Linked DNA regions of Ovis aries. The protein of the gene in region 3 interacts with the protein of the main gene of each other region in a biochemical or structural test. Links are inferred from orthologs where the notes say so. Each region holds a gene or a part of one and is shown on either strand. Other genes may lie near its edges. The genes, in order: ITGB1, ASB2 and FLNA.

The links.
Region 1: the proteins of FLNA (region 3) and ITGB1 form a complex in vitro, tested with the Homo sapiens proteins (3 studies listed by BioGRID and IntAct). The link is inferred for Ovis aries from reciprocal best matches to the Homo sapiens genes FLNA and ITGB1.
Region 2: the proteins of FLNA (region 3) and ASB2 form a complex in vitro, tested with the Homo sapiens proteins (3 studies listed by BioGRID, with this or other methods). The link is inferred for Ovis aries from reciprocal best matches to the Homo sapiens genes FLNA and ASB2.

What each region holds. Positions count from the first base shown.
Region 1 is NC_056066.1:19,294,058-19,298,147, reverse strand, and holds the start of ITGB1 (integrin beta-1), read right to left. Parts: upstream 2,937-4,090; 5' UTR 2,641-2,936; coding exon 2,548-2,640; exon of another isoform or gene 2,429-2,547; intron 2,339-2,428; exon of another isoform or gene 2,285-2,338; intron 1,882-2,284; exon of another isoform or gene 1,788-1,881; intron 1-1,787.
Region 2 is NC_056071.1:56,316,370-56,320,062, forward strand, and holds the end of ASB2 (ankyrin repeat and SOCS box protein 2), read right to left. Parts: intron 1,184-3,693; coding exon 1,047-1,183; 3' UTR 501-1,046; downstream 1-500. UniProt on the Homo sapiens protein: Substrate-recognition component of a SCF-like ECS (Elongin-Cullin-SOCS-box protein) E3 ubiquitin-protein ligase complex which mediates the ubiquitination and subsequent proteasomal degradation of target proteins.
Region 3 is NC_056080.1:80,098,259-80,101,903, reverse strand, and holds part of FLNA (filamin-A), read right to left. Parts: intron 3,610-3,645; coding exon 3,406-3,609; intron 3,330-3,405; coding exon 3,177-3,329; intron 3,061-3,176; coding exon 2,938-3,060; intron 2,818-2,937; coding exon 2,551-2,817; intron 2,420-2,550; coding exon 2,282-2,419; intron 2,112-2,281; coding exon 1,996-2,111; intron 1,460-1,995; coding exon 1,327-1,459; intron 598-1,326; coding exon 421-597; intron 257-420; coding exon 38-256; intron 1-37. UniProt on the Homo sapiens protein: Promotes orthogonal branching of actin filaments and links actin filaments to membrane glycoproteins. Anchors various transmembrane proteins to the actin cytoskeleton and serves as a scaffold for a wide range of cytoplasmic signaling proteins.

The DNA.
Region 1 (4,090 bases), on a different chromosome or scaffold from region 3:
ACCAAATGCCCTAGTTTCCCCAGGAGTTAGGAATTTATCCACCCCAGTATAGGGCATGTCCATTCAATGATGCTAATTTGGGGCAGCTTTTAAATATCCTGACCAGAAAGCTGAGGAGAAAGCCACCTAAATCCAATGATTTATTTAATATTACTGATCCTATACTTTCCACACACAGAATAGCGAGGGGATTAGAAAACAATACAGAATTTAACATTCTTTTAAAAAGAATCAACATTACAAAAACTTTAAATTTTAAGTCTGTGAAATCAACACTGATGACTCAATCTGGAGTTTGCTATTTACAGAAGCAAAGTATTAACCACATCCCATCTTTTTAACTAGCATTCTAATAACATCTTCCATTTTATACTGCATTCTAGGGTGGGTATAATCGCTTTCTCCTCAAATGCCTATTAACTAAAACATGGATTTCTTTCATGTGTTTTCTATTTATCAGCTAATCATCTTCAATCCCTCATTTATTAATCAGTGAACTAAAATTATTTTCAAATGTGAACATCTCTGTAGGGCTCTTAAGCCACCCCTGACTCCTGTGAGCCTTGATGTCCACAGATCCAGAATAGGTAACTTGCAAGTCAAGTTCCTTCACCACTTCTTAAGTGTTTAACACACAACGTATTGCAAAGTCTGGACTCAGTTTAAGAAAAATTCCTAATCGAAATTCAGTTAGCATTTGTTATTATTGTACCATCAAAACAACAATAAAAAATAACAATAATTCTACCCGGCTAATATTTATGTGGAACGCAGATTCAAAGAAACCTTACTGATATCACCAATTACATGAGGTTTTTTTTAAAGTCCTTCTACTGTATCAAGAAGGAAAGAAAAGGAGTTAATATTCATTGCGCTAAGTGTCTTCTATCTTACATTTTCTCACCACTGCACTGTACCTATACAAGGTTACCTGTGGTTCAAACACGGGTTGCTGGACCACATGGGTTGTCCTCATCACAACTGGGTGACCACTTATGCTCCCTGTGCCTCAGTTTCATTTGTAAAACAGGGATTAAATACAACACCTACCTCTTTGGATCAGTTCCAGGATTAAAGGACAAAATAAAGGTAAAGTGCATAGAGGTAGGCATAGCCCTCACTGTCCTCATAATAATTCCTAGTTTTATTATTAGTATAGGTAGGTACTGTTCCCATTTTACAGATGGAAGAAATGGAGCCTTAAAGAGTGTAATTTACTAGTAATGATCATACAGACTAGCGCTAGGTTTTCATGCAAAAGCACAAAACTGATGAAACAAAAATTGCTCTGGCATGAAATACTACCATTCTTAAAAATACAACTTGTTCTGAAGCATCGGGAACGGCACGAATCAGGCACAGGCTGGGCAGGAGCCCTGGACACGGCCGCGGCGCCCACACCCAGCATTAGGAGAAGGGCCCACAGGACGCGCCCACCCGGCTCCCCGGTGCCCAGCGGCGCGGCGACGCCAGGGACGCGGGGCTGGAGCCGGGGTGAGTGGTCCCGGCGTGGAGACCCGGCAGCCGAGGCCGCTGCCGGACGCAGGTCCGCGGAGGCCCGTCCGCGCCCAGCCCAGCGTCCGAGTGGCTGGTCCGACTCCCGGGCCTCCGCGACCGCGGCCCCGCGAGGACAGCGCCCCTGCCGGGAAGGTCCAGGGGCGGCCGCGGCCCGACTTCCTCCCCCGCCTGACGGCTTGGAATCCACCCGGAGGCCGCGGCCCCCACGTCCGCTCCTCCATGAGAGCCCGGCCGCGCACCGAGCCCGCCGCCCGCCCTCCCGGGCCCACCTTCTCCCGCGGCGTCCGGCCCGCGCGGTCGGCTCGGCCTGTGCTCCGCGGTTCCCGCTCGGCCTGTCCCGAGCTGGCGTGGCCTCCCGGGCTCGGGCGCGGCGGCGGCGGCGGCGGCTCCTCCTCCTCGCGGGCGGGAGGAGGAGACTCGGCGGCGCGGGGCCGCCTCCCGGCAGGAAACGACCCCCGGGGCACCGCCTCCCTGGCGCTGCGATCCCGCTCCGCAGGCCGCCGCCGCGGCTCTCGCCCTCCGGAAGCGCATTCCTCTCGGGCCGCGTCAGCCGCGCCCGCGGTGGGAGGGGGAGGGGGACAGGGCGGGGAGGGGGAGGGGACGGAGGGGGAGGGGCAGGGGGACTGCGGCGCGGGCCGTGCGAGGGGCGGGGGCCACGGGACAAAGGAGCGGCCCTGCTGGGCCGCGGGCTCCGCCGCAACCTCGGCCGCGCCTCCTTTCTTTGCAGCCGAGGGAGAGAGGGAGGATTTTGCCTGGCCCTGCTCACCTTAATATCCTTCTCGGCCTGCCTTAGGCGCTGCTTCTTCAAAGCCCCGTGTCTGTCCGGCCGGAGGACTGCCCGGGGTTGAACCCTGGAAGCCCTGCCTCCCAGGAGCCGGCTCAGACAGATCCGGGACACTTAGTCACTCACCTTGTTAAGGTTTCGTGGGGCCAAAAACGTTTCCCTTTGGAAGGGAAGTAGCTAAAGCCGATATTTTTCTGGTGGGAGGATTTGCTTGATTTACGTCTTTGAGAGAGGGGAAGACTTACGGAGGAGACGGGTGCCAGGAAAAATGAAGAAAGTTGTAGAGAGAAGCTGGTGAGTTGAGGAGCAGCTTTTGTTAGGTTCATCTGGAGGTCCATTTATGGGGAACAGGGAGGAGAAGGAAAAGTTCATCCTTGATACCGTTTCTGTCCTACCTCACTTTTTTCAGTAGGTGGATAGGGGGGCTGGAGAAGAGACAGCTAAAAGAAGCATGGCTGGGCACATTTTGATAAGAGCATCGAAACCTCTGCCGGCCGGCATCATACTGAAACCCGGTTACTCAGAATGCGCTGCTGGCAGGCTGCCATCCTGTTAGCAGAAAATGTCCATTGCCACGTGGTGAGCTGCAGCACCCTGTTGGGAACAGAACTCGAATGATGAGATTTGTGAAACTGAGAAGCAGTGTTTCATTTGGGGAAGATTAGAAGCTGTGATGCTCATTTGACGACCAATCTTGAGGAAGAAAAAAAGACAACCCCATCTATGGAAATGTTACCCATTGCTCGCCAGCAAAATTAAATCTTTGGTTAGGTAATCTCTGGAAACCTCTAAAGAAACAAGAATGATTTTTCCCACTTAATGGATGAGCAAATTTAAGAGACTAAATGATGTTTCCTTATTTGGGGAATCTAAAAAAGGATATAGATGAACTTCTTTACAAAACAGAAATAGTCTCACAGACATAGGAAAACAATCCCATGGTTAAGGGGAGGGAGGATAAATTAGGAGTTTGGGATGAGCATACACACACTACTCTAAATAAAACACAAACAAGGACCTACTGTAGAGCACAGGGAACTATATTCAGTAACCTGTAATAACCCATAATAGAAAAGAATCTCAAATAAATTCTTTTTCAGATTCTTTTCCATGTATATATTCTTTTTCAGTTTCTTTTCAGTGATATATATAACAAACTTTTCTGTACACTGGACACTAGCGTAACATTGTAAATCAACTATACTTAAATTTTTTTTTAATTAATATATCTATGTTAACAACCCAATGGTGCAGCTGCCAGCAGACCTCAACATTCTTGAATTTAAATGTACTATTAATACTGTTGTTCAAAACTGCTCAAAATCTATGTCTGGTCTCAGCATGGATTACCATTCTAAAGTGTAGTTTATCCATGCTTGATTTGTACTACATTCCCCAGAACTTTCTTCCTTGTGTGATTTGCTACATTATAAGATTCACATTTGCACAACATTAAACTAAATTAGACCAAAGGCAGTGTAATAATCATCTTTTTAATCTCAGTGTCAAACACTGTTCCAGGTCACACAATAGGGGCTCAGCTAATACTGGATAAATGAATAAATGGGTCCTTTTGCTCCCCTGGGACCACACCAGAACATCCAACTGCACTAAAGTGTGAGTAGCAATTTATCTGCAGAAGTTATGAGCTTTGAGGAAATGAGAAATTAAAGAAATATATTCTCTAAGAAAAGCAGTGATTGGTCAGGAGTATGGCTCCATTCGTGATTTCAGATAAATATTCATCGAAGAACAGCTAACTATAAAATTTATGAGCGTTTCAAACGT
Region 2 (3,693 bases), on a different chromosome or scaffold from region 3:
TTCCTGCCTCTCAAGCGTGGGGCCTTTGAGAGGAGAGACGACAGCCTCCCTCTGGCACCTGCTCACAGGAGCCAGTACTTAGATGGCTTTCCCCTCGTATCTCAGCCTTTGTTGCCAAATGGGTGAGTTAAGACGTGAAGACAGTGCCAGGGAATGTGTGCGTAAGACAAGGCCAGGTGTCAGGAGACTTGTAGGCTCTGAGACCCTGTTTGTGATGAAGCTCTGGTTTCTATGGCAACGGAACCAGGAGAGAGAAAGCAATGTTGCCAGCTTCGATCACAGGGCAGCCAGCTGCCCCCTCTCCTCTGGCCATCAGGTCTCTTCTGGTGAATGAAGGACACATGCTCTGGGGCCTTTCAGAAGTCCAAACCAAAGTGATGTGATCAGGGCTCCACGTGCCCTGTCCCAGCCCCCGGTCCCACCCTCACTCCCACCAGGAGCTGGACTGAGGACCTCAAGGCCCTGGAGGGGGCTGGTGAGAGACTTCACTGGGCAGGCTGTCATCTGTGCAACATTTATTGTACCTAAGGAAGCCCTCCGGGCCCGAGGTCTCCCACCCTGCTCCCCTGGGCCACAGCTTTGGGGAGAGAACTGAGTCAAGTGGAGAGTTTCACAGAGCACAGGGGGAGGGGCACGGGGCAGCTCTGCAGCGAGGTGGCCCAGCAAAGACAGAATCACCCCAGAAAGAAAGCTCTCCAACCACAGCCTGGAGGTGGGGTCAGGGCTTCGCTGCCAGCCCCCTTGCCTTCCCCTGACCACCCCAAGTTCTGCCCTGGTCCCGCCTCTCGGCCCCAGGAATGGAGCTTTCTGCCATTCCCAATGGCAGAGCCGGTCTGGGATTTCCTCATCCAAGTGAAAGCCAACCCAGTTCTTCTCCTGCTCGATACATCTGTCCTCTGCTCTGGGCAAAGCTCTGGCCCAGAGACCTCTGAGAGCCCGGCAGCTCCCAGCCACATCTGTCCCCGGGCCCCCTGGATTTGGAGACACGGCTGTCCTGAGACTCAGCGAAACCGTCTGAGGAGCTGCTCCGCCCCTGCGTGCTCTGGTTACTGGGTGTTCTCGTATTTCAGGTATCTGATCAGCCTGCCTGGAAGCGGCAACGTGTCCAGGAGTTTGATGCGGTATTTCCCGATGGCCTTTCGAACTCGCAGCCGGCAAAGATGAGCCAGGGGTCTTGGAGGTTCTGGAAAAGACAGAAAGAGAGATGCTGATTGGTCGCTTGCACCTGGCAGAGGGTTGGCATCTCTGACCCCTGGCTTGTGGGAAGCACCTGACCCGTGTGGCTGGCTAAGAGAGGAGATGCCCTGATTCCCCCATGCTCACGGTCCCTGCCAACTGAAAAGGTGCCATACTTCATTCATCTGCACAGCCCAAGGAAGAAGGAGGGCAGGTTTGATGTTGTTGTTTAGTTGCTAAGTCGTGTTCAACTCTTTTGTGATCCCATGGACGGTAGCCCACCAGGTTCCTCTGTCCATGGGATTTCCCAAGTAAGAATAATACTGGAGTGGGAGGCCATTTCCTTCTCCAGGGGATCGTCCTGACCCAGGGATTGAGCGCACGTCTCCTGCATTGGCAGGTGGATTCTTTACCACTGAGCCACCAGGGAAGCCCAAGGAGGGCAGGTACCAAACCCATTTCACAGGTGAGGGCTTAGCAAGAATCACGCCTGGCACTGGAGCTTGTCCTGGGCTCCCTCCTCTACGTGTCAGCCCAGACCCTGCCCTTCCTCATAGCCTCAGCAAATACGACCTCCTAAGTGACCCCACGCGTCCAGTTCAGCCCTGGGTTCTAGGAGGTGCAGAGAAGTCAGGATCAACAGGCAGGGACTGAGCAGGTCCCAGAATCCTACCAGGCCGCCTCTTCCAGGAGGCCCCCAGGGATACTTCATTAAGTGGAGCTTTCTCAGCTAAGGGGTGGGGGGGTGGAGAGAAGGGGGTAAGATTACCCCGTGATGCATCTAGTAATGGGGTAATTAATTTCAGCTCCGGGAACAGGGTAGGCATTTGATGAATCAAAGAACTCCATCCATTCATTCATTCAACACACACATGCTGACCCCTTCACTGCACTTGGCCCTGTGCTTGGGACAGAGGTACAGGGGTATCCACTCAGGAGCTTTGGGGAAAGCCTTCCATACCAGATGGTGCATCTGAAAGGTCTCGATGGGTGGGTAGGAAGTTGCCAGGTCGGGGACAGAGGCAGGGCAGTCCAAGCAGGGGAAGCAGCAGTGCCAAGCCAAAGAGACCGCCCAGGGGAGACGGGAATGCAGAGGGAACGTGGGGAGGGTGGAGAGGCCAGGGCGCCACAGTGTAGCCTCTCCAGCCGCCCCATCAGGGCATTTCTGACACTTCCACTGCCCTCTGATCTCAGGACAGAGCCTGCCCTGGAAAGCACAGCCCCTTTCTCAGCAGAGCAAAGGCTGAGCTTGTGGGAAGGCAAAAGGCTGCTGGCAGGCAGAGGACACAAGGCCTCCAAGGCTGGCATCCTGGCTGGCTTTGGAGCCTCTGATATCAACAACACAGCATTAAATGAAAGTCAGTCAGTCAGTTCAGTCACTCAGCTGTGTCCGTCTCCTTGTGACCCCATGGACTGCAGCACGCCAGGCTTCCCTGTCCCAGAGCTTGCTCAAACTCAAGTCCATCCAGTCAGTGATATCAGCCAACCATCTCATCCTCTGTTGTCCCCTTCTCCTCCTGCCCTCAATCTTTCCCACCATCAGGGTCTTTCCCAATGAGTTAGTCCTTGGCATCAGGTGGCCAAAGTATAGGAGTTTCAGCTTCAGCATCAGTCCTTCCAATGAACACCCAGGACTGATCTCCTTTAGGATGAACTGGTTTGATCTCCTTGCAGTCCAAGGGACTTCTCAAGAGTCTTCTCCAATACCACAGTTCAAAAGCATCAATTCTTTGGCACTCAGATTTCTTTATAGTCCAACTCTCATATCCATACATGACTACTGGAAAACCATAGCCTTGACTAGACGGACCTTTGTTGGCAAAGTAATGTCTCTGCCTTTTAATATTTTGTCTAGCTTTTCCTCCAAGGAGCAATTGTCTTTTAATTTCATGGCTACAGTTACCACTTGCAGTGATTTTGGAGCCCCCAAAAATAAAATCTCTCACTGTTTACATTGTTTCTCCATCTATTTGCCATGAAGTGATGGGACTGGATGCCATGATCTTAGTTTTCTCAATGTTGAGCTTTAAGCCAACTTTTTCACTCTCCTCTTTCACTTTCATCAAGAGGCTCTTTAGTTCATCTTCACTTTCTGCCATAAGGGTGGTGTCATCTATATATCTGAGGTTATTGATATTTCTCCCGGCAATCTTGATTCCAGCTTGTGCTTCATCCAGCCTGGGATTTCGCATGATATAAACTGCATATAAGTTAAATAAGCAGGGTGACAATATACAACCTTGATGTACTCCTTTCCCTATTTGGAACCAGTCTGTTGTTCCATGTCCAGTTCTAACTGTTGCTTCTTGATCTCCATACAGATTTCTCAGGAGGCAGTTCAGGTAGTCTGGTATTCCTGTCTCTTGAAGAATTTTCCAGTTTGTTGTGATTAACACAGTCAAAGGCTTTGGTGTAGTCAATAAAGCAGCAGTAGATGTTTTTCGGGAACTCTCTTGCTTTCTTGATGATCCAACGGATGTTGGCAATTTGATCTCTGGTTCCTCTGCCTTTTCTAAA
Region 3 (3,645 bases):
AATGGGTTGTGTAGCAGCCGTCTGGCACCAGGCTCACCTGTGACTCTGGCCTTGAAGGGGCTGCCCGCAATGTGGTAGGGGCCGCCGTACTTGATGGAGATGAGGTAGCTGCCAGGTGCCATGGGGGTGTAGGTGACGCGGTAGCCCTCAGGGCACTCATGGCAATCCATCTTCACCTTGGAAGGCCCGTCGATGGTGACTGAGAGGGCACCAGCGCCCGCATTGCTGGTGTTCACGATAAACTCAGCTGGGCTCCCTGGGGGCACGGGAAGGTAGGTACAGCTGGCCTGGCCCGTTGCCCCACCCCCCACCCCAACAGAGTCTTGTCACCTCCGCACGCCACCTGTTGTCACCAAGAGCTTGGAGGAGGGAACCCTAGTCATTGTGTTCACACACCAGAAGCCACTCATGCTGACCTACCTGTGATGCCGCCTTCCAAGCCAGCTCCATAAGCAGACACCAGGCCTGGGTCCCCTCCATGCCCAGGCTCCCCAACTCGGATCTTGAAGGGGCTCCCCGGGATGTGGGTGCCGTTGAATTTGACATCAATCAGGTAGATGCCATTCTCCCGTGGGATAAAGCGCACAGCATACTTATCTGAGGAACAGAGAAGTAGGTGGTGGGCCTGGGGTCCCTCCTCTAAAACTGAGCAAGTGGCATGTGCCCACCAATATGAGTCTAGCAGGTCTTGGGGCCCAGTTAGCTTCTTCTGGGAACTGTGCTGGGCACCTTCACCCTACTGTACAGAAATCCTGAAGCCCGAGGGATGAAGCTTTAGATGCCCAAGCTACTGACAGATGCCCAAGCTCACTTTAGATGCTGCAGCATTTGGACTGAAGTCTTTTGTAAGCAAGACACCTGCTTCAATGCCTCCTTAGAAAGGCTACCCTGAATGTCATATCCACCACATGCTAACTGGGGCCCAGAGATAGGCAGGAACTTGCTCGAGGTCATACAGCCAGCAAGGGGCAGGACTTAGCCATGGACGAGTCAAATTGAGCAGCTCCTCCCACCCCCAAGCCTGTCTGTGAGTTCCAGGCCCTGGCAGGACCAACTGCTAGACTTGGGGTCTCTCTTGTAAGAGATGGCAGGATCATGCCTCCAGAGGGCTTTGTCCTTTCTAACAGCATGGCTGCTGAGCCCAGTCCCCAAGGGCTTGGGTCCCAAGTAGGGGGCGGGGGGCCCAGGCCCTGTCTCGGCTGCTTGCAGATTATGTGTCTTGCTTTACACTCTCAGCCTGCTTCCAGCCAGCAGGGCCGGCCTGGGGAGGCCCACTGCTCCCAGCAGTGCCCGGGTGGATGGCTGGGTGGCCAGGCAGGGCCTCACCTTGGTCGATCTCGGTGACATAGCACTCCTCCAGGGCTCCTGAGGGGCTGTGCACCTTGGCATCGATTGCCCCCTTGGCCCCATTCAGGCTGACTGCAAAAGAGGCTGGCTGGTTGACCTTTAGCCCTGACTCCTGGAAGCACAGCAGACATGGTTAGGATAGCGGAGGCTGGCGGGGGTGGGGGGGGGGCGTGAGGGGAGGCTGGGCCCCAGAAGCAGGAGGCCCAGGGGGAGGCACTTACCCATCTGGCGTCCAAGTGGGTTTAAAGAGGGAGAGCCAGCGCTTCTCGAGGGGCAGCAAGCTCCAGGCACACACCCCAAACCCCTAGCCCCACGCACTCCAGGCACACAGCGGGTAGGCGGGAAGCAGGGCGCCCCCCGGCCCACAAGCAGCACTCAGCAGCCCTGGCAGGTGGCTGTCCCTCTTTAAACCTCAGCCCTGGTGCTCAAGGGGCACAGGCTTCTGTTCAAAGCCTTTAGACCTGAGACACGAGAAAAACTCCACGCGGCCGTCAGGGGTGCGTCCTGCCGACCCAGGCATGGGCTGTTCCCGGCCAGAGCAGAAGCAGCCCGGCGCCCTGAGCTGGGCTGGCTGGGTCCCTGGACACAGGAACTCTGGTCTGGCCGGGCACAGGAGCCCCAGGCGGGCGGTTTCTCTCAGTGCCTCACCTGAAGACTAGAAACAGTAAGGCGGCGGGCGTCACCAGACGGAGAAGCCACAGGTACCACGAAAGGGCTATCGGGGATGTGCTCCTCGTTGAACTTGACTGACACCTCATAGTCACCTGGATGGGGAGCGAGAACAAGATGGCCATGCATGCCTCCCCCCCGACAGCCCAAGAGGCCCTGGGGCCTCAGGGTGTTGAGAGGGGGAGAAGGTGGAGATCTCTGTATAGACCTGGACGGGCACCCAGCCCCAAGGGGCAGCCTGCCGGCCCCAGCCAGACCGCAGTACCTGGCTCCTGGACCACATAAGCCACGCCACAGGAGCCATCCTTGCGGTCCTCGAAGGAGATCTCGGCCTTGCTGGGGCCCTCGACAGCAATGGCCAGGCCCCCCGCACCAGCTTCCCGGGTCCAAATGCTAAACTCGGCTGCAGGAAGGCAGAATGTGTCCTCATGGAGGGCTGTGCTCCCCACCCCCAGCATGGGCTGCTGGAGACTTCCTCCCTCCCACTGCACCCCCAGCCGGGAGCAGACAGAGCCCCAAAGGAAGCAGGCCTACCTGGCACTCCAGCTTCAGCCCTTTCCAGGCCAGGGCCCCCGGCACGGACCTTGTGGGCTCCCCCTTCCCCCAGGGGCCCCACAGTGAACTGGAAAGGGCTCCCGGGCACGTGCTGGCCCTTGTACTTGACGCTGACTGTGTGCATGCCCATCTCAGCAGGCACAAAGCGGATGCAGTAAGTATGGTTCTCCCCTTCCACGATCTCGGCCTCATGGCTCTTGCCTGACGGGCTAGTCACCTGCGCTGTCATGTCCTGGATGCTAATTTCTGCAGGTGGGGGAATAGCCAGTTGAGCAAGAGACCCAGGCCACGCCTCTCTGTCCGGGGGCACCCCAGAGCTAGTGCTTAGGCCTCCCCGGGACCCGCCCAGGCGGCCACAGCTCCCACCTGGGATCTTGAGGCTGAGGTCACAGTGACTACCAACATTAGCCACCGATGGGGCCCGTCGCCTGCGCGTGATGCTCTCTTTTACGCGCCCCTCGCCTGTCACCTTCACGGAGAAGGGGCTGCCTGCAGGAAGAAGGCACAACCCACACCCCAGACAGGTTACCCTCTGCTGGGGGCCCCTGGAGTGTGGCATGGAGAGTCACCCAGCAGTGGGGGAGGTACATGGGTGCTGTACCCACCAGGCACGTGCTGGTCAGCAAACTTGATGTTGATGATATAGTTGCCAGGCTCCGTGGGGCAGTAGGTGACCCTGCATGTGCCATCCTCCAGGTCCTCTGTGTTGATGTCTACTTTGCTGGGACCCTCGATGGACAGGCTGAGCCCCCCATAGCCTGTGGGCGAGACATCCCTGAGCCAGGGGGCCAAGTATGGCAGTCTGACCCCCGCTCCCAGGTCCCTACCGCCTACCTGCATCGCGTGTATCAATGATAAACTCTGCTGGCTCAAAGGTGTGGCCTTCATGGAGGCCCTGGCCCGAGACCCGCACACGGCTGGCATCCCCGATCTCTGATTGGCTGATCACCACTGGAATGGGGCTGCTTGCCACATGCTGCCCATTCTTCTTCACGTGCACCAGGTGTTCTCCTGTCTCCTTGGGCACGAACGAGATCCCTAGGCACAGAGCGGGGCTGTCAGCCAGGGAAAGAT